Anolis sagrei: one gene and its partners. The protein of the gene in region 1 purifies or fractionates together with the protein of each later gene. This does not show direct contact. Links are inferred from orthologs where the notes say so. Each region holds a gene or a part of one and is shown in the gene's direction. Other genes may lie near its edges.

Region 1 (7,849 bases):
GTACAAGTATCCCTTCTGCAGATTGAATAAAACTTCACTCTGGTGACATCCTGATTTCTGTCATGGAATATTAACAGTTAGAGGTGCTCAGTATCCATAGGTTCTTGGAAAACCTCAAGCTTTCAGCATCAGTGTCAAACTGCATTGTAGATACATCCATAGATGACAAGTCACCAGTAAAAACATTTAATGCAGAGGCTGTTCTGTGTTAAAAATATATTCTAGCAATCAGATTTAGCCCGGAAAAAGAGAAAAATGCAAGCTGATATGAAAGCAATTTACAAATATTTGAGGGACTGTGACATGTTTGAATGTGAAGGAATTATCCTTTGTACAGTATTGTGCTGCTCCTGAGATGAGGAGCCAAACCACTGGTTTCAAATTATAGGTAAGGAGATTCCAGATAAGAAGTTTGTAATAATACAGCTGTGAGACATTGGGCTCCCTTGGAAAGTGGTAAATTCTCCTTCGTTGAAAGTCTTTAAACAAGAGCCCGGTGGTTGCATGTCAATGTGATGCTTTCACTGTAGATTCCAGTGCTAGCAAGGCGATGGAGACAACTCTTGCGGCAACTTACTGTTGCAATCCAGAGCAGGGAACGAGGCCCTAAGATATCCACCACACTTGGCTGTGAAAAACAATCCTTTTTTATTGAAGAAAAATGGTTACAAAATAAAGGAAAAATGCAAGTCAAAAGCCACAGTAAAATCAGCAAACATGAATTTAAATGGACAAAGCAAAACCAAAAGCCTCACTGGGAAAATACTGGAATCTGTTAGCAATCCACTAACCGTACTTGATATCCTAGAAATCTTCCCAAACTATGACCAGGGAACCGGGAGAACTGCCAAGGTCTTCATCAATTCTGAAACGATGCCTGAACTGAGGCAATTAGCCTGGCGTATGGCAATTAAAACTCAAGAATTGGTTCCGTGAACCGCCCTTCTGTTTTGAAGCCAATGTTTTTAATTCTTGAATTCGGGAGGATCGACGCAAACTGAGTGTTTTACTTCTGTCTCCCCAAATTTGGCCCCTTCTGTTGTCATTACAGTTAACAGGTGCAGAAGGGAGGGAAAGTTCAAGGTCTCCCTCTGAAACATTCTCAGGAACACTGGTACTTTCATTTTCCAAACCTACAGCAGTTTCTTCCTCACTAATTTCAGGAGCATTGGCATCAAAAGGTACATTTCCACTAGCATCAGTAAATATACTTTCATTAGCATCAGGAGGAACAAACAGAGAATTAGGTTCAAGTTCAAACTCAGGCTGAACCCCAACACTTACAACTTTCATATTCTATATTTTTGTGTGAAGCTAATCTGGGAGAAGTCAGTAAATTTCAAAATTGTCTAACGAGATAATGGGGAAGTTGAACGGTATTGCTTCATAAGCCGTTGTGGTTGCAATTTTGTGTGTTCTCACTGAATTTAGACTTCTGAAAAAACAGCCATAGCATTTGGATGTAGATCATTAAGTAATTCTGGTGGCATAGTTCTGAGTCTTGGAGCCTTGTTTGTCTGCAAGAGCCTCCCTTGCTAGTGGTTGCTGAAAGAACATGTTTGGTTTACATAAATTATTCCTTACACAACACAGCATTCTCAGGCACTTCCTTCTTCTACTACTTTTTGGTTGAATGTAATAAATCAGTTAAGAACCTAGTCCCTGAGCTACAAAGAACCTAGCCCCTGAGGTAGGCGAATATGTTATTTTCAAAGGACTTCAACAATAATCCTGGCCAGTTCGAGGGCTTAAACTATTGCTGACCGATCAGACAAATATTCGTCATTTTAATCCTATAATTTTTTCTCTCCATTCATTGTTTCCCGCTTGACCCGCCTCCTCTCTTCCCATTGGCTGAGAGGCCAGAGCGACGCTGGCTCTCTGATTGGGCAAGGCGCAGCTGAGCTGGCCATGCCTCCCAGCCAGCGGAGGACTCCAACCAATCAGCGAAAAGCCAGCTAGGGGAGCGGGAGCAAGAACTTTGAACTTGACAGCTCTGTATTTCCTATAAAAACTGTGTTATTTTGCCTTGTGGCTCATGTCAGCTTCTGAGCAAAAGATTGCGGTTTGATATCTGTTCCAGCTGGAATGAAATAAACATCTCAGTGGCTTCTTCTTCAACTTAGTGAGATTTGGAAAAATAGGGAAAAATTTCTTTTGGGTGCTCTTGTCTCGCCAGGTGTCCAGATCCTCTTTGGTGGGTCTGGCTGGTCCTTGCCTCAGCAGGACCCCTTAAATTCAGGTTCGACATCACATGGAGGCACTCTGCCCAGGAGTTGTAAGGCAGCGGGGCCGAAGAGGTGTTGCTATGGCCCCACGCAGGTGTTACTATGGCCAGCAGTGGGCAGAATCCAAGAAGAGCATGGATGAGCTCTCTCTGTCAGCTCCAGCTCCCCATGCGGAGACATGAGAGAAGCCTCCCACAAGGATGGTAAAACATCAAAACATCTGGCCGTCCTCTGGGCAACGTCTCTGCTGACAGCCAATTCTTTCACATCAGAAGAGACTTGCAGTTTCTCAAGTCGCTTCTGACACTAAATAACAAGTGGATTACTTCAGGATGACTTTCTGAGCTGAAACTCGCTGCACTGAATGTCTTTGCTGAGGCACAGAATAAAGGTAAAGGTTTTCCCCTGACATTAAGTCCAGTCGAGTCCAACTCTGGGGGTTGGTGCTCATCTCCATTTCTAAGCCGAAGAGCCGGCGCTGTCCGTAGACACCTCCAAGATCATGTGGTCGGCATGACTACATGGAGCGCCATTACCTTTCTGCTGGAGCGGTACCTATTGATCTACTCGCATTTGCATGTTTTCGAACTGCTAGGTTGGCAGAAGCTGGGTCTGACAGCGGAAGCTCACACCGCTCCCCGAATTCGAACCTGCGACCTTTCGGTCAACAAGATCAGCAGCTCAGTGCTTTAACTCACTGCACCATCGGGGGGGGGGGTTCCTATATATATATATATATATATATAAATGGAGCCACATGACCTTGGATGTGTCTATATATATATGGAGCCCCTGGTGGCGCAGTGGATTAAAGCACTGAGCTGCTGAGCTTGTTGACCGAAAGGTCACAGGAACAACTGCTGTCAGACCCAACTTCTGCCAACTTAGCAATTCAAAAACATGGAAATGCGAGTAGATCAATAGGTACTGCTCCAGCAGAAAGGTAACAGCGCTCCAGGCAGTCATGCTGGCCACATGACCTTGGAGTTGTCTATGGACAACGCTGGCTCTTTGGCTTAGAAATTGAGATGAGCACCACATCCCAGAGTCAGACATGACTGGACTTCATATCAAGGGACAACCTTTACCATATATATATATATATATATATATATATATATATATATATATCTGAAAAACCACTGGATGAATTGACACCAAACTTGGACACAATGAAAAACACAGCAGAAGGGACTTTAAAAGCCAAACAAAAAACAAAACAAAAAACCAAAACGCAATATCACACATATATACACAAATATATATAGACACAAAATACATCTACACAGACCAAGCCACAGCAACGCGTGGCAGGGGACAGCTAGTGTGTGTGTGTGTGTGTGTGTGTGTGTATATATATATATATATATATATATGCACTGTCCTGGAGCGCCTGTTCCAGTGGCTCCAATTTTGTGTTTTGCACTGAGTTCATAGTCCTAAGTTGCAGGGACTTTGTATATAGGTGGCTTCCTTTGGCTGCATTCATAGGGCAAGCCACCTGTCAATTATAGTTAGGATCCCTGGTCCCGCCCCTCTCTGGGTTTTTTGGAGGGAAGGGGCCATCTTTCAGTTAGTCTCAGCAAAGGAAGTCAATGCAGAGGATGTATACAGACGTCCTCCTGTGCAAAGGCTTAGTCTGGGGGAGAACAGTCTTGAGAGCCTCTAAAGATTCCCAAAGGTTCCGGGGAAACAGCCTTACAGCCCTGAGGAATTCCGGAGGGAATTACAGCTCTAACCATCAAAGCAGCTAAGTCAGTGGTTCTCAACCTGTGGGTCCCCAGGTGTTTTGGCCTACAACTCCCAGGAATCCCAGCCAGTTTACCAGCTGTTAGGATTTCTGGGAGTTGAAGTCCAAAACATCTGGGGACCCCAGGTTGAGAACCACTGAGCTAAGTGATTACAGGCCTGTTGGTACGTCTACTTGGTTCTGAGACGCAGTTCAGCCGGTAGTGGATTCAAATCAGTTAGGTTTAGGTTCACAGCAGCCTGGGAGGAGCTAGAAAGGGGAATTTTCCTTTGAACAAGGTTTTTGAAGATAGTGCCTGTTCCCTGTGAACAAGATTGCAAGAGCTAAGAGACTGTTTAGAAAACTTTACAATTCTTGTTTGTTCATCAATAAAAGACTGTTATATTTAAGCTCAAGCCTCATAAAGACTGTTTAATAAGGGAAATTTCTCTAAAGGCTTCTTTTCGGGGGCCCTGGCTTCCCACTGGATCCAAGCCATACATCCTCTCTTAAAGGCACTTCATTTCAGGTCCAGTTGCGACAGAACACACACACACACTCACACATACATACACACCAACACTTTATATATTAAATGTTTGCGCGTGTAAAAACTGAAAAGAAAAAGAGCTCTCAGGGACTCCCAATTCCCCTTCACGCCCAGTGGCAGGAAGGTGCTGCCCAGCAATATAAATCTAGTTAGGGACGAGAAGGACGAGAAACGCTCCTTGACTTCCTATTGGGCGGGCGGCGGGGCTGAGGCTGAAGGGCAGCCAATCAGACAGCGCCACTGCTCCCGCCTCCCTCTCTGGCCCCGCCCCCAACTCGCCTCTCTTCCTCCAGTGGGATGAAAAGTTTCTGGCGGCCTCAGTGACTGGAAGGGGAGGGGGGAAAAAAAGAGGCGCAAGATGGCGGAAAATTTAAAAGGTGAGTGGAAACCGCCGCCGCCGCGCGCGCGCGCCGGGCCGGGCTAGCTTTGCGCGAGACCCCTCGTTTGGGAACCTGGGGTTCGGCGGGTGGAAGCCGAGAGCCAATGAGCGCTGCGGTCTGAGAGCGGCGCGAGGCGGAGGTTCGGCGGCGACCGTTACGGGGCGGGGAGCGCGCGAGGGAGGGAGTGAGGCGGCGCAGGACGTGGCAGAGAGCGGGAAAAAGGAAAGGCGGAAAGCGGATAGGGATAGGGAACCCTGAGGAGAGGGCAAGGGGAACGGGCAACCTTTGAGCGGGGCCACCTTGGCTGCGTTTCCCGCTCAGAGGATCCAATGTTGTTCCAAGTTCCTCACAGAGGCAGTTCATGTGCCTCCCTGTTCGACTCTATGCCTCTCCTCAGCAGACACGACGCTCCTGGAGACCCTTTTTGTGCCCTCTTCACATTTCCGCCCTCCTCATCTTTCCCCCTCTGGCGTGCTTTCCACCATGTGCGTCTATCCCTTAGGGTACTTCCACACAGCCCTATACTCCAGAATATCCAGGCAGAAAATCCCACAATATCTGCATTGAACTGGGTTATCTGAGTCCACACTGCCATATATTCCAGTTCAACGCAGATAATGTGGGATTTTCTGCCATGGATATAGGGCTGTGTGGAAGGGCCCTTACTCTGTATTGTCGAAGGCTTTCGTGGCTGGAATTACTGGGTTGTTGTAGGTCTTTCGGGCTATATGACCATGTTCTAGAAGCATTCTCTCCTGACGTTTCGCCTGAATCTATGGCAAGCATCCTCAGAGGTTTTGAGGATTCTTGCCATAGATGCAAGAGAAATGTCAGGAGAGAATGCTTCTAGAACATGGTTATATAGCCCGAAAAACCTACAACAACCCCTTACTATCCTCAGAGAGTAGGAGAACTCGTGGAACTCTTCAGGACAACCTTCTGACGTGAAACTCGCCTCACAATGATTTTGCTGAGGTACATAATAATAATAACAACAACTTTATTTATACCCCGCCACCATCTCCCCGAAGGGACTCGGCGTGGCTTACATGAGGCCAAGCCTGTCAAATACAAATACAACAATACATCGACAAACAAGCAAGCAAATAAAACAATATAAATAATACAGTTGAACATATAAGCAAAGCAATAACATGCAAAAGATTTAATGGCAGGGCCAGATGTAGATTAAAAGTTTAAAACCATGGGCGTGTACAGAGTAGGGTATGTCTAGGCATGGGGTTTTTAAAGTGTGATATGGGGGGATCAATCCAATGGATAAAGTGCTTCAGGGGACATATAGAAGGAAATTGGTCAGATAGGGCATTATTTCCTTTAATCAGGGAAGCCATGTTTTCAAGCTCCTCCTAAAGATAGCCAAAGTGGGGGCTTGCCTGATATCTTTAGGTAGAGAGTTCCAGAGTCGGGGCGGGGGGGGGGGGGGGGACACAAAATTTTGTTTGACCCACTCTTCTACGTCCAAGGGCCCTTCTACATATCTGTATAAAATCCCACATCTGTTTGGACTGGGTTATATGTCTGTTTGGACTCAGGGCCCTTCCACACAGCCATATAACCCAGAATATCAAGGCTGAAAATCTGCTTTGAACTGGATTATCTGAGCCCACACTGCCATATATTCCAGTTCAAAGCAGATAATGTGAAATTTTATTCAGCTGTGTGGAAGGGGCACAAGTCTGCAACAATAATAGCATATAAAACTTTGAAGGAGGGAAGATTGCTCCTGTTTCCAGGTTTGCAATCTAAAAACATTTTTAGCATTATAATTATTTCCCGGGATTCAGCAACAGGAGTGGAATAGAACTACTACATCACACTAGAGAATGAATCCACTTTGAATCTGTTTTCTGCCTCCAGCAGAATTCTGGGGTTTGTAGTTTAGGGAGGAAACTTTAACAGCCTCACTAAACTACAAACCCAAGAATTCTGCAGGAGGCAGAAACTGGATTTAAAGTGGATTCATTCACTAGTGTGATGAGGCCCCTAGTAGACATTGCCATTGACCAGTTCTTTGTTTGAGCCAATTGACCATGGTGGATCTTCCATCATTTATTAATGCTGACCATAGACAACCACACTGGTGGATCTTGAAGAACCACCAGAAATCTTGATTCCTCTTTCAAAGAGTAAAGAAGGGAATTGGCATCACCGGCAGTCCCCAATTTACAAACCACTCATAGTTAAGAATGGGGCTGAGACAACATGAAGTGACAGAAATCAACCCCCAAGGCCCTTCCACACAGGCATATAACTCAAAATATCAAGGCAGAAAATCCCACAATATCTGCTTTGACCTGTATTATCTGAGTCCACACTGCCATATATTCCAGTTCAAAGCAGATAATGTAGGATTTTATTCAGCTGTGTGGAAGGGGCCTCAGAAGGGAAACTGCATCCCGAAAGAGTTATCATGAGGACAAAGGTGTCTCAACTGAAGCTTCCTCACCAATCCTTGTAACCACAACAAGACACATTCTTCAAAAATTAATTACTTGCATATAATATTTTAAAGTCACCATGATCACAAATATCTGGAGTGGATAATGTTGTGGTGATGCCAAATCACAATGATACCTAACCTTTCACCCAGATCGTATTTAGTGCTGATCTTCAGCCGAGTGTTTTCAACTTTATTGGCTTGAAAAGAATGAAGATTTTGCAGGTGAAAGGCAAACTGTTTGAAACAAATTTCCTAAAGGCTTTGCTAGGTTTTCCAGCTGTGGTACACATAATTTCATTATATATATATTTTATTTTTGTGTCAGGAGTGACTTGAGAAACTGCAAGTCACTTCTTGTGTGAGATAATTGGCCATCCTTAAGGATGTTGCCCAGGGGACGCCGGGATGTTTGATGTTTTACCATCCTTGTGAGAGGCTTCTCCCATGTCCCCGCATGGGAAGCTGGAGTTGACAGAGGGAGCTCAACCAGCTGTCCCCCAG
Region 2 (6,938 bases), on another chromosome or scaffold:
CGTACAGCAACTATTTCTTGTACTCAGGTTGGAGCTATACCGCCATGTAGTCTGGTTGAAGACAGACAATCCGGATTCAGAAACCGGACTACATGGCGGTGTAGATCCAGCCTGAGCCCAAGAAACAGTTGCTCTACGTTCACTTCTGGACCCTGCTTTGAACCGGATTATACAACAGTGTAGACGCATATAATCAGGTTCATGGCAGATAATTCGGTTCAGAAACCGGACTACATGGCAGTGTAGATTCAGAAACCGGACTACATGGCGGTGTAGATCTAGCCTGAGCCCAAGAAACAATTGCTGTACATTGGTTTCTGGAAAGGGGTCACTTCTGCACAAAGCGCCCAGGATCCAGATTATCTGCTTTGAACCGGATTATACGGCGGTGTAGACTCATATAATCCGGTTCGAGGCAGACAATCCGGATTCAAAAACCGGACTACATGGCGGTGTAGGTCCAGCCTGAACCCAATAAACAGTTGCTGTACATTCACTTCTGGAGCTAAGTCATTTCTGCCCAAAGCGTTCTGGATCCAGGCTATCTGCTTCGAACCGGATTATACGGCAGTGTAGACTCATATAATCCGGTTCAAGGCAGATAATCCGTATTCAGAAAGTGGATTAAATAGGGTGTAGATCCAGCATGAGCCCAATAAACAGTTGCTGTACATTCACTTCTGGAAGTAGGTCACTTCTTCCCAAAGCGTGCTGGATCCAGATTATCTGCTTCGAACCGGATTACGCGGCAGTGTAGACTCATATAATCAAGTCAGATAATCCGGGTTCAGAAACCGGACTACATGGCGGTGTAGATCCAGCCTGAGCCCAAGAAACAGTTGCTGTGCATTCACTTCTGGGACGAGGTCACTTCTTCCCAAAGCCTTATGGATCCAGATTATCTGATTTGAACCGGATTATACAACAGCGTAGACGCATATAATCCGGATTCGGAAAGTAGACTAAATGGCGGTGTAGATCCAGCCTGAGACCAAGAAACAGCTGCTGTACATTGACTTCTGGAACTGGATCACTTCTGTCCTATCAAACTACAAATGCCAGGATTCTACACCTTGGCAATTAAAGCGGTATCAAACTGTATTGCTCTGCATTGACCATATGGTCATCTCCTTTCGTGAGGCTTTTGCAAACGATCTTATTGAGGGCATTAATCTTAGCGTGGGCTGAGCAAAACCATGGAGGGCGAAGAGGCTGTTCGGAAGCGAAATACATACTATTTTCCTTCGGGTTGGATTCCTGCCTCAAAGAAGAAGCCCTCCTCGGCCATTCAAACGGATGGGAAACTCTTTTCTTTCATTACTGTGTCATAGAGGGTAGAAAAGGACAGAGAAAAAGGGAGGCAATACCAATAATTCGATATATTTTTAGTAGAAAGACTTCCCGTCAATTCTCAAATTAAGTAGGTTTTTCCATTGTAACCTCGGTACCTTGTTTATGTGTATTGAACGACTGTATAGCTTTTTCAGAGTATTATAATATTAATGCCATATGCCTAAACCCATTGGAGCCCCAGGTGGAGCAATTGGAAGCTTCCCAAAGGATGGTAACACATTCCTCGGGTAACGTCCCTATAGACGGCCAATTCTCTCACGCCAGAAGCAACTTGCAGTTTCTCAAGTCGCTCCTGACACGGTGTAAAACTGGAACCTCCTCTTCCCTTCGCATCACCCCTCCCTCTGCCTCCTAGGAAAGGGGAGACCCCAAAACCAATTTTCCCCTAGAAGAAACAATTCTCTTATCTACCCACGCGTGAAGGAAATAAAACAAACAAACATCCTTAATAACAAGCTGAGCTGAACCCCTTTTTCCCTTCTCTCCACATCACCCCTCTCTCTGCCTCATAGGAAAGGAGAGAACCCAAAACCCAATTTCCCTTAGAAGAAACAATGTTGTCATTTACCCACGAGTGTTTTTTTCCACGCAAAGGGAAGGAGACCAAACAAACAAACAAAATCGACAAGCATAGGCGAAACTATTTGTCCCTTCTTTCCACATCATCAGCTCTCTCTGATGGGAGGGAGGACGGGAGTTGTTGTCGTCTACCCACCGGTGTTTTTTTCCCCACGCGAAGAAAAAAGACCACCAAACCAACAAGCTGTGGCCGCATCTACTCTGTAGAATGGATGCAGTTTAAGATGACTTAGCAAGTGCCCTGCCTCAATGCTAGGGGAGGGCAGGAGTTGTTGTCATCTACCCACGGGTGTTTTTTTCTTACGAGAAGAAAAAAAACGACCGCCAAACAAACAAGCTGTGGCCGCATCTACACTGTAGAATGGGTAGAATGGGTGCAGTTTACCATTACTTAGCAAGTGCCCTGCCTCAATGCTAGGAGAGGACGGGAGTAGTTGTAGTCTACCCACGAGTGGGTTTTTTTTCCACGCGAAGGAAAATAAATATCTCGAGGGCGCATCTACATTGTAGAATAGATGCAGTTTAATATGACTTTGCCTTAATGCTAGGAGAGGACGGGAGTTGTTGTCACCTACCCACGAGTGTTTTTTTTTTCAATGCGTAGAAAAAAGCCCATCGAACAAGCAAGCTGATGGTGCATCTACACTGTAGAATGGATGCAGTTTAATATGACTTAGCAAGTGCCCTGCCTCAATGCTAGGAGAGGACGGGAATTGTTGTCATCTACCCACTGGTGTTTTTTTCCCATGCGTGGAAAAAAGCCCATCGAACAAGCAAGCTGATGGCGCACCTACACTTTAGAATGGATGCAGTTTAACCTGACTTAGGAAGTAGGAGAGGACGAGAAAACTACCCACGGGTGTTTTTTCCCACGAGAAGAAAAAAAGACCACCAAACAAACAAGCTGAGGGCGCACCTACACTGTAGAATGGATGCAATTTAACATGACTCAGTAAGTACTTTGCCTTAGTGCTAGGGGAGGATGGGAGTTGTAGTTTTCCAGTCTTTTATGCCAACGAGTGCTGATACCTCACTAGACTGCAACTCTTTATTCCATAGCACAGCGAAAGTGAGGTCAAACTGGATTAATTCTGCAGAGTGGAGGAACCTAACTAGGTAAGGAGCTACATAGCTATATGGTGCATAATATGGGCATGGGACAACTTGGGCCTTTCAGGTGCTTTGGACTTCAACTCCCATCATTCCTAACAGCCACAGGCCCCTTCCTGAAAAGGAAAGGGCCTGAGGCTGTTAGGAATGATGGGAGTTAAAGTCCAAAGCATCTGGAGGGTGGGATTTGAAGTCCAAAGATCCAGCTTTAGAGAAGGGAGGTTTCCAGGTCTAGGATCTGGGCTGCACCAAATATAATATAATATAATATAATATAATATAATATAATATAATATAATATAATATAATATAATATAATAATAAAATAAATAATAATAAAGTAAAATAATATAATAAAATAATAAAATAATAAAATATAAAATAAAATAATAATAAAATAAAATATATAATATAATATAATATAATATAATATAATATAATATAATATAATAATATAAAAATAAAATAAATAATAATAAAATAAAATAAAATAAAAGTGTGTTGACTGAAAAAGGCTGGATCGGACGGGAAGGAAAAGACTCAAAAAAGCAAACAAGAAGCAAGGAAAGGCAGGAAGTTGGCATCCAGGCATCATTCACGCCTTGCCCGGTTTCTAACGCGGTTCGAAAGCGGGGCATCTACACAGCGGAGTCCTTCCAACTTTCTCTGGGCAAAGGAAGGGAGGAAGCTTCCCTTTAGGCTTTGGGAGAATCTTCCCTCCCTTTAAAATCCCAAAGTGAAAGATCTCTCCAAACTTTTTTTTTTGGCGGCGAAAAGGAGATTGTCGAAAGGGGGGGGGGGGGGGAGGGAGAGGGAAGGGGGGAGAGAGAGAGAAGCCGCTGTTGCGCATGTGCGAAGGTGTCCAAACTGACAATGCTGGAGAGATAGCGAGCTTTGGGGCTGTTGCAGGAAAGAGTGGCTTGTGGAGGAGGGCGAAAGAAAGAGGGAGAAAAAGAGAGAGAGAAAGAGCAAGAGGGAGGAGAAGGAGGGGGAAAAGAGAGGAGGGGGGCTCACCGGTCATCTTCTTCTTCCTCCCCCCTCCCTCTCCGGTTTGGCCCCCTCCCTCCCTCCAAGCAACCTCCACCGGACTGGGCAGCAATGCGATCCAAAGCCAGGGCGAGGAAACTGGCCACAAGTAGGTGCAAAAGCGCGCTTTTCTCGCTGGCGGCATCCCGGGGTTGGGGAGGGCTTGGGGGGGGGAGTGGGTTGAGAGGGTCTGGAAGGAGGGAGGAAGGGCAGGGAGGGGGGAGACCCTTCTGCACACACACACAACCCTTTAAGACCCCTCCCTGGCCCTCTTTGCAAAGCCTCCATCCACTCTTCGGGTGGCGGGACAACAACAACAAACGCCGCTCTTTTTCCCCCCGGTCCATTTTCTTTGCTCGGCTAAGGGCAGTCTTTCCTTGCGTTTGAAAGGCTCCTTGGCTTCCCTGTCCTGCGTGGGGTTTCTGATTAGAGGGGAGAAGATCGCAGCTGAACTTCAGCAACCGCACCGGAGTAAAGAGTTGAGCAAAAGTTCAGAGAGCCGGGTGGCAAGTTGGGAGGAAAGAACTGCTGGAGGGAAGAAAAAGGGAGAAGGGTGCAGAGGCGCCGCCTGCCTCTAGTGGGCGCTGCGGGCTTGGTTTCAGCCAGAGGCGAGGGCAGCGGGAGCGCGCACGGGGCACAACAACCTGCAGCGCGGAGGGAGGGAGGGAGGGAGGGAGGGAGGGAAGGAGGCGGGGGCGCGCTTCAAGCAGGTCTTGAAGGAGGAGGAGGAAGAAGAGGAAGGACTGCTAACGCTGCAGCGGATAAGAGCTCAGCTTCTCTCCCCCCCCCCCCCATGATGCTTCCCCCTCTTCTCCTTGTGTTGTTCCCTGTCTTTGGGGGTCCCTTGGGGGGGGGGGTTGTGGGCATGCCTCCCCTCCACGCCTCTGCCCACCCCCGAAGGACCTCCCCTCTTTTTCCCCGCATCAAGTCCAGGAACTTTGCCTGGTCCCTCTGGTCCCTGTTTTTTCCTTTCTGTTCCTTCCCACGTGCAAAAAGGGCCCCGCCACGCGAGGCCGCGGAAGGGGAGGGGGGCTTGAAAAGTTGCAGGAGCAGCCCAAAGGTCAGGGGTCATCTCCCCCAAATAGCAGACCTTTTCTATGAGTGGGAGGACGAGGCTTGTGGGGGTGTGTGTCAGTTATAGAGGAAAAGAAGACCTCTGATTCCCTAGAAGTGATCCTCTCTCTCTCCTTGCCCACCTGAGGCTCTCCTCTATCATCTCTCTTCCTTTCTAGATCATCTGTCTACCTACCTCTCTTCCTATTTATCTTCCTATCTATCTATCAATCTTCCTACCTACATATCTTCTTACCTACTATTCTGTCTATCTTCCTATCTCTCTCTCTCTTCCTACCTATCTACCAATCTGTCTTCCTATCTATCTTCCTACCTACCTACCTTCCTATCTATCTTTCTCTCTCTCTTCCTATCTATCTTCCTACCTACCTACCTACCTATCTACCTTCATACCTCTCTCTTCCTATTTTCCTACCTATCTTCTATTTATCTTCCTATCTATCTACCTACCTACCGATCTTCCTACTTATCTTCCTATCTCTCTATCTTCCTACCTATCTATCTTCCTACCAATCTTTCTACCTACCTATTTTCCTCTCTCTCTTCCCTATCTTCCTAGCTACCTATCATCTACCTATCTATCTACCTATCTTCCTACCTATTTTCCTGTCTCTCTATTTTCCTTCCTACCTACCTACCTACCTATCTGCCTACCTGTCTTCCTATCTCTCTTCCTATCTATATATCTTCCTAGCTACCTATCTTCTATCTATCTTCTTATCTATCTACTTATCTTCCTACCTATCTTCCTATATCCCTCTCTATCTTCCTTCCTTCCTATCTTCCTGTCTACCTACCTACCTACCTACCTATCTTCCTGTGTATCTATCTATCTATCTATCTATCTATCTATCTATCTATCTATCTATCTATCTATCTACCTACCTACCTATCTTCCTATCTCTCTCTCTTTCTATCTATCTTCCTAGCTACCTATATTCTATCTTCCTCTCTCTATACCTATCTTCCTACTTTTCTTTCTCTCTCTCTTCCTACCTACCTATCTTCCTATCTCTCTATTTTCCTATCTCTATCTATCTATCTATCTATCTATCTACCTATCAATATCCTCTTTCTCTTTCCCCCGCTTTTGCGCCTTCCTTCCTTCCTTCCTTTCCTTCGGCGTCCTCCACCTCCACCTCCCACTTTCTCCAAACCTCCCGGACCCATGGCTGCGTGTCTTTCCGGGCCCGTTGCTTCCCACGCTTGCCAGGGAACCGCGTGTCGCTGGCCCTTGTTCCCCCAAGAAGTGCTCCCGCTGGGAGAAAGAGAGCCAGGCTCCTTCGGAGGGTTTCCTTGGCCGAACGGGTTTCTTTTCGCGCGTGTTCCTCCTCCTGGGTGCCTGCCTGGAGAGCGTGGATCCCTCTCCCCTCGTTCCTCCTCCTCCTCCGGCACAGGCTTCTTTCTCGGCTTCTTTCTCCCGGTGCGCGCTTTTTGGAAGGAGCGGGAGCGGGAGAGAATCTCGCGTGGAAAGTGGGCCCTTTGGAGCGCTGCCACCCGAGCCAGGCTTTGACTTCGGGCGCTGAGTTTTATTTACGGCGGCGGCTCAGAGCCGTTTCTTTCCCTCGCTTCCGAAACGCCTTTCTTTCTCCTTTCTGCTCTTCCTCCCTTTTCCAAAAGCGCCGGACCACCCCCACTTTCTGGAAAACCTGCCCCGGTGTCCACTCCATTTTCCGTGGCAGTCTTTTCTCCTTCCTTTGCTTCGCAGTTGGCAACGGGGCGGCAGGAAGAAGGGGAGGAAAGGACCGCAATTGGGGCGGATTTTGGGGGGTGGGAGCGGGAGAAAGGGGCAAAAA
Region 3 (7,025 bases), on another chromosome or scaffold:
CTTCCTCTCATGTATTTATACATGGCTATCATGTCTCCTCTCAGCCGTCTCTTTTTCAGGCTAAACATGCCCAGCTCTTTAAGCCGCTCCTCGTAGGGCTTGTTATCCAGACCCTTGATCATTTGAGTCACCCTCCTCTGGACACATTCCAGCTTGTCAATATCTCTCTTCAATTGTGGTGCCCAGAATTGGACACAATATTCCAGGTGTTGGAATATTGTCATACAGCAGTTAAGGGGACACTTGCAGGAACGATGGGATGCAAAGGTCATTTCATATCTGGTATCTCCCAGATGTTTCCAAATAAACGGTCTCACCCGAATGCTGGCTTCTACGGAGACAGTAGTATTTATTTTTGTATGGAAACTATGATAATCGGTGTGAAGCCGAAGCATTCCTGGCACGGCGAAGAGCAGAGCATTTGGAGCCTTGAAATGAGACGAGATTCCCTCCGAATGCTGATTAATCCACCTGATTATAATCCCTGCAAAGCTCGCCTGCTGTTACCACTCGCATCGGAAACCCATTTTCTCTCGATGGGCAAAGGAAGGCCGTGATCGGCATAATTTGAGGCTTTATTTGATTTATTTCTCCCTCCGGCATTGAGAATCCCCTCCATCTTTCGCAAGGAGAGAGTTAATTGCCGCCTCGTCGTAACCCGTTGCTTGTTGTGTTGTTTGTCCCCTAAAGAGGCGGTGTTCGTCCGCTTCTCAAAAATTGAGCTGCAAGAACAACCAAAATGCATTCCATATTTGCCGAAAAGGTGGATATGGGATCCTTTTCTTGTTTTTCTATTTAAAGCTTTCGTTTGACCTCTGAATGAACAGCTGGCTCGTGATCTTTCCTTTTGCGTCAAATTACAAAATGGGATTTCCATGATTTGCCAGCCTTGCAGTCCAGGTCTTGTTTGAATCAATCCAGATTCTTCAAGAAGTGTTGCGTTTGGATACATGAGGATTTTCAGAGTGTTTCGTCTTATGTTCGTTACAAGAACACAAGACTGGGATTGTGGCGCAGCTGACTGGGAGTCAAGATCAGGAGTTCAAAGCCAGCCCGGGTCGGAGTGAGTGTCTGACCAATTGTGTAGCTTGCTGTCAACCTTTGCAGCCCGAAAGACATTTGCATCTGTCAAGTAGGAAATTTAGGTACCGCCTATGCAGGGTGGTTAATTTAACTAATTTATGATGCCATAAAAATCTCCAGCAAGCATGCAAAGAATGAGGAAGTACTTCATCAGTGTCACAAATGGACGGTGAAGCAACAGCTCCCCTGGTGGCCAGAATACCCTCATGAAAAGTTAATCTGTTAAGTAGGAAATTTAGGTACCACCTATGCGGGGAGATTAATGTAACTAATTTATGATGCCATAAAAATCTCCAGCAAGCATGCAAAGAATGAGGAAGTACTTCATCAGTGTCACAAATGGACGGTGAAGCAACAGCTCCCCTGGTGGCCAGAATACCCTCATGAAAAGTTAAATTGCCTCTGTGTCTGTCTATATATGTTGTGTGTCTATGGCAAGGCTCCACAAAATTTTTATACAGAGGGCCAGGTCATAGTCCCTCAAACCGTTGGAGGGCCGGATTATAATTTGAAAAAAAAAAAACATGAATGAATTCCTATGCACACTGCACATATCTTATTTGTAGTGCAAAAAAACACTTTAGAACAATACAATAATTAAAATGAAGAACAATTTTAACAAATATAAACTTATTAGTATCTCAATGGGAAGTGTGGGCCTGTTTTTTGCTGATGAGATAGGATTGTTGTTGTTGTTATTATTATTATAGGATATCATGAATAAACAATGTCAAAAATACTGACAATATTATTAATATTTATTAATTTATTTACTCACCCCTGGGGGTCTCAACATTAAATGGCGTACATACATGTGAAAACTAAAACCTAATTTCTAAGTAATAACATATAACTATAAATTACGAACCTTAGCCATCTTAAAACAACATCATTTAGACGTTACAACAGAACAATTGGATTGAAATTGAATATTAATATCAATTATCTCATAGAACATATGAAATAGGAAAAATATATAATGATTAATGTCATTATTTTTAAAATACACCCTTGAAAGAAAATGATTATTCAATCAATTTCTCTATTAAGTACATTATACTTTTACTACTCTATTATTTTAAAATATATTAATATTAATGCATTATAGAAATATTATTAATTATACACAACATAATGTTAACCAATATATTAATTATACCATCATTTGATTAAAAATACAATGTTAATATATTATATTTGTATTATAATAGCAATATTATTTTATAATATTTATATCAATTATATATATATATATATATATATATATATATATATATATTGAACCAGTTTTCATTTTAAAAAGATAATATATTTCTATTAAATTACTTTATAATATCAATTATTACATCATTTATATATATTCATCAGACCATTAATTCATTTCAAAGTATGTTAATATATCATGTCGATTATATTACTGATTATATTATATAATATTAATTACATAGAAAGATATGTAATATATATTAATATAATTATATATTAGTTATGTATAGTAACATATTAATTATAGCATTTTATATATAATATATATAATAGTATTGTTGTTGTTGTTCGTTCGTTCAGTCGTCTCCGACTCTTCGTGACCTCATGGACGAGTCCACGCCAGAGCTCCCTGTCGGCCGTCACCACCCCCAGCTCCTTCAAGGTCAGTCCAGTCCCTTCAAGGATGCCATCCATCCATCTTGCCCTTGGTCGGCCCCTCTTCCTTTTGCCTTCCACTTTCCCCAGCATAATTGTCTTCTCTAGGCTTTGCTGTCTCCTCATGATGTGGCCAAAGGACTTCAACTTTGTCTCTAGTCTCCTTCCCTCCAGTGAGCAGTCGGGCTTTATTTCCTGGAGGGTGGACTGGTTGGATCTTCTCGCAGTCCAAGGCACTCTCAGAACTTTCCTCCAACACCACAGCTCAAAAGCATCGATCTTCCTTCGCTCAGCCTTCCCTAAGGTCCAGCTCTCACATCCGTAGGTGACTACAGGGAATATAAATTAATATACATAATTATATATATAAATTAAACCAGTTTTCATTTTAAAAATGCGAATATATTTCTATTAAATTATTTTATAATATCAATTATTACATCATTTATATATATTCATCAGACCATTAATTCATTTCAAAGTATGTTAATATATCATGTCGATTATATTAATAATAATATATAATATTATATTAATTACATAGAAAGATATGTAATATATATGTATATTAATATATAATTATATATTAGTTAAGTATATTAACATATTAATTATAGCATTTTTATATATATAATATATATAATAGTGTTATTATATAATATATATAATAGTGTTATTATATAATATTATAATATTAATGACATAGAAAGTTAGTAATATATATATGAATTAATATATAATTATACATTAGTTGTGTATATTATTACATTAATTACAGGATTATTTTATATATTAATATATATATATATATAAATTAAAACATAAGTCTTTATATTAATCATATACATTAATACATTAATGATAGCATTATTATATTAACTGTACATTAATATATAGATCTCTATATATTAATATAAAATTATATATATTTATGTTAAAAATAAAATTATATATAATTATATATAATATATATAATTTAACATATAAAATTATATATAGTTATGTTTATATATATATTATATACAATAATATATATATATATATATATGTATATATATATAAATACCATTATTTCATTATTTCATTTTCTCTTTTTCCTCTTGCTTTTTGCAACTCCGCCATGTTGTACGGAAAAAGCCCCTTCCCACCCACTAGGCGCCGCCATGACAGCGTGCGTGGGCTCACTTCCGGACAGCGCGCGCCGGCTCCCCGCTGGCCAATGAATGGCCGGGAAGGCGGGGCCAAGAGGGAGGGCCGCGCGCACAGGAGGCTTCGAAAAAGGGGGCGGGGCTTGCGCTCCGAGGCTGCCCGGGCCATGGCTACAGTGGAGTCGAAGGTGAGTGCAAAGCGCCGGCCGCATCCACTTCTCTTCAGGCGCGGGGGGAGGCGGGGATGGCCACTAAGCGAAAGCTGGGATTGAAATACAACGGGCTGCGAATTGGTATCTCCCAAAATGAAGCGCCTTCCACCCGAACTCTGCCGTTGCTCCTCCCCGCTCCCCCTCTGGCCTTCATGGTTCAGCCCATCCTCTATGAGGAAAGGCTGACGCTGGGCCGCTCCCATTGTGTGGAGAGGGGGAGGAGGGTTTAAATCAGAGCAACCCGGAACCCTGCATAACCAAAACAGAGTTATTCCCCGCCATTCCACAAACGCATGAAAGCCATGCTGATTCCGGGGTTCGCTGTATTGCTATGGTTATGCAGAGTCCCGGGTGGAGATGGCGGCTCCCCAAGCTCTCTTGGCGCATTGCCATGCTCGGTACGGGGCCTGGGCGGAGGGGGCGTGGCCAGTCAAACAAGCAGGGAGGGCAGATGGAAATAGTCCTGAATATTATTCAGAGTGCGGGGCCCCGCCGTCCTTATGGGCCATTCAGCTTGCGGGCCTCTCAGAGTTCCTTTTATGAGAGTTCATTCATTTTTTGCTGTTTCCAGAAGGCTGGTTGAGTTACTCAATTGGGAGGAATCTTCAATTTAACTATCTAATGATCTATAGATAGATCAATTCCACCCAAACCCCTCCAGGAAAAACATTTCATCATATCAGGTATTTGTGCCAAGTTTGGTCTAGATTTATCTTTGTTTGGGTTCACAGTGTTATCTGGATTTAGGTGAACTACAACTCCCCCAAATCAAGGTGAATTTTCCTCAAAGATCTCCAGTATTTTTTGCTGGTCATGGAGGCCCTGTGTGCCAAGTTTAGTCCAATTCTATCTTTGGTGGAGTTCAATGTGCTCATTGATTGCAGATGAACTATAAATCCCAGTACCTGCAACTCCATAATGTCCATGCCAATTCCCCTCCAAACTAACCAGTATTCGAATTTGGGCACATCGGGTATGCACGCCAAGTTTGGTCCAGATCCATCATTGTTTGCCAATTCTATCTTTGGTGGAGTTCAGTGTGCTCATTGATTGCAGATGAACTATAAATCCCAGTACCTGCAACTCCAGAATGTCCAGGCCAATTCCCCTCCAAACTAACCAGTATTCGAATTTGGGCACATCGGGTATGCACACCTAGTTTGGTCCAGATCCATCATCGTTTGGGTTCATAGTGGATATATTATTATTATTATTATTATTATAGTGGATATAGGTGAACTACAACTCCCCCAAATCAAGGTGAATTTTCCTCAAAGATCTCCAATATTTTTTGCTGGCCATGAGGGTCTCTGTGTGCCAAGTTTAGTCCAATTCTATCTTTGGTGGAGTTCAGTGTGGTCATTGATTGCAGATGAACTATAAATCCCAGTACCTGCAACTCCATAATGTCCATGCCAATTCCCCTCCAAACTAACCAGTATTCGAATTTGGGCACATCGGGTATGCATGCCAAGTTTGGTCCAGATCCATCATTGTTTGGGTTCATAGTAGATATTATTATTATTATTATTATTATTATTATTATTATTGTGGATATAGGAGGACTACAACTCCCCCAAATCAAGGTGAATTTTCCTCAAAGATCTCCAGTATTTTTTGCTGGTCACGGGGGCCCTGTGTGCCAAGTTTGGTCCAATTCTATCTTTGGTGGCGTTCAGTGTGCTCATTGATTGCAGATGAACTATAAATCCCAGTACCTGCAACTCCAGAATGTCCAGGCCAATTCCCCTCCAAACTAACCAGTATTCTAATTTGGGCACATTGGGTATGCACGTCAAGTTTGGTCCAGATCCATCATGGTTTGGGTTCATAGTGGATATATTATTATTATTATTATTATTATTATTATTATTATTGTGGATATAGGTGGACTACAACTCCTCTAAATCCCTCCAAAGACCTCTAGTATTTGTTGTTGGTCATGAGGGTTCTGTGTGTCAAGTTAGTTCCATTGGTGGAGTTCAGAGTGCAGTTCTTGGATTGCAGGTGAACTATACATCCCAGTACCTGCAACTCCAAAATGCCCAGGCCAATTCCCCTCCAAAATTAACCAGTATTCAAATTTGGGCACATCGGGTATGCACGCCAAGTTTGGTCCAGATCCATCATTGTTTGGGTTCATAGTGGATATATTATTATTATTACTATTATTATTCTTATTATTATTATTGTGGATATGGGTGGACTACAACTCCTCTAAATCCCTCCAAAGACCTCTAGTATTTGTTGTTGGTCATGAGGGTTCTGTGTGCCAAGTTAGTTCCAGGTCCATCATTGGTGGAGTTCAGAGTGCGGTTCTTAGATTGCAGTGACTACACCTCGTAGAAATCATGGTGAATTCTCCCCAAACCTCTCTAGTATGCTCAGTTGCTGATCAGTTCCTCTGTTTTCTGTGTGCTATAGAAAATAATAGGAAAAGGTTAAGGGAGAGGCAGTGGGCGAGGTCATGCAAATTCCACATCAATGGAGAGAGTCAGAAACACTGGGATGTCTGTGGTGGAGGAAACACATAAAATTTAGGATGGATTTGTCTCCTAATGAAAGCCTTCAATTGGGTGGTAGACAATGTTGTGTTTGTGGAGGACACTGGCCGGGCTCTTGAACATGTTTACAATAGCCCGTCCCCGCTTTTGTCGTTTACCTATTACAGTACCGTACCCAAATGCCGGTCCTATCTTATTTCGATTTGTATCAGTCCTGACCCAGCCTTTTTAATTGTCTTGACCCATTCCTTTCCCATGCCCTAACAAATAGACATAAAGAGCAGGCAGGATTTTTTCTTTTAATATTTATGTGTTGTTGGGTAATTTCATGTTACTGTTATTTTTTGTTTATGTTGTGACTCTGTTTGTTTTGATGTTGTTGCTTGGAACCTGCCCTGAGTCCCCCCGGGGATATAGAGCTGTATATAAATAAATTA

What was found. Proteins that work in one complex are often made in the same cells at the same time.
Region 2: the proteins of SUV39H1 (region 1) and MECOM purify together in Homo sapiens (affinity purification with western blotting; 3 studies listed by BioGRID). This does not show direct contact. The link is inferred for Anolis sagrei from reciprocal best matches to the Homo sapiens genes SUV39H1 and MECOM.
Region 3: the proteins of SUV39H1 (region 1) and EHMT1 purify together in Homo sapiens (co-immunoprecipitation; 3 studies listed by BioGRID and IntAct, with this or other methods). This does not show direct contact. The link is inferred for Anolis sagrei from reciprocal best matches to the Homo sapiens genes SUV39H1 and EHMT1.

Annotation. Positions count from the first base shown.
Region 1 is NC_090022.1:194,074,940-194,082,788, forward strand, and holds the start of SUV39H1 (histone-lysine N-methyltransferase SUV39H1), read left to right. Parts: upstream 1-4,778; 5' UTR 4,779-4,865; coding exon 4,866-4,884; intron 4,885-7,849. UniProt on the Homo sapiens protein: Histone methyltransferase that specifically trimethylates 'Lys-9' of histone H3 using monomethylated H3 'Lys-9' as substrate. Also weakly methylates histone H1 (in vitro).
Region 2 is NC_090023.1:251,574,858-251,581,795, reverse strand, and holds the start of MECOM (histone-lysine N-methyltransferase MECOM), read left to right. Parts: upstream 1-3,906; 5' UTR 3,907-4,140; coding exon 4,141-4,177; intron 4,178-6,938.
Region 3 is NC_090031.1:9,330,043-9,337,067, forward strand, and holds the start of EHMT1 (histone-lysine N-methyltransferase EHMT1), read left to right. Parts: upstream 1-3,993; 5' UTR 3,994-4,039; coding exon 4,040-4,060; intron 4,061-7,025. UniProt on the Homo sapiens protein: Histone methyltransferase that specifically mono- and dimethylates 'Lys-9' of histone H3 (H3K9me1 and H3K9me2, respectively) in euchromatin.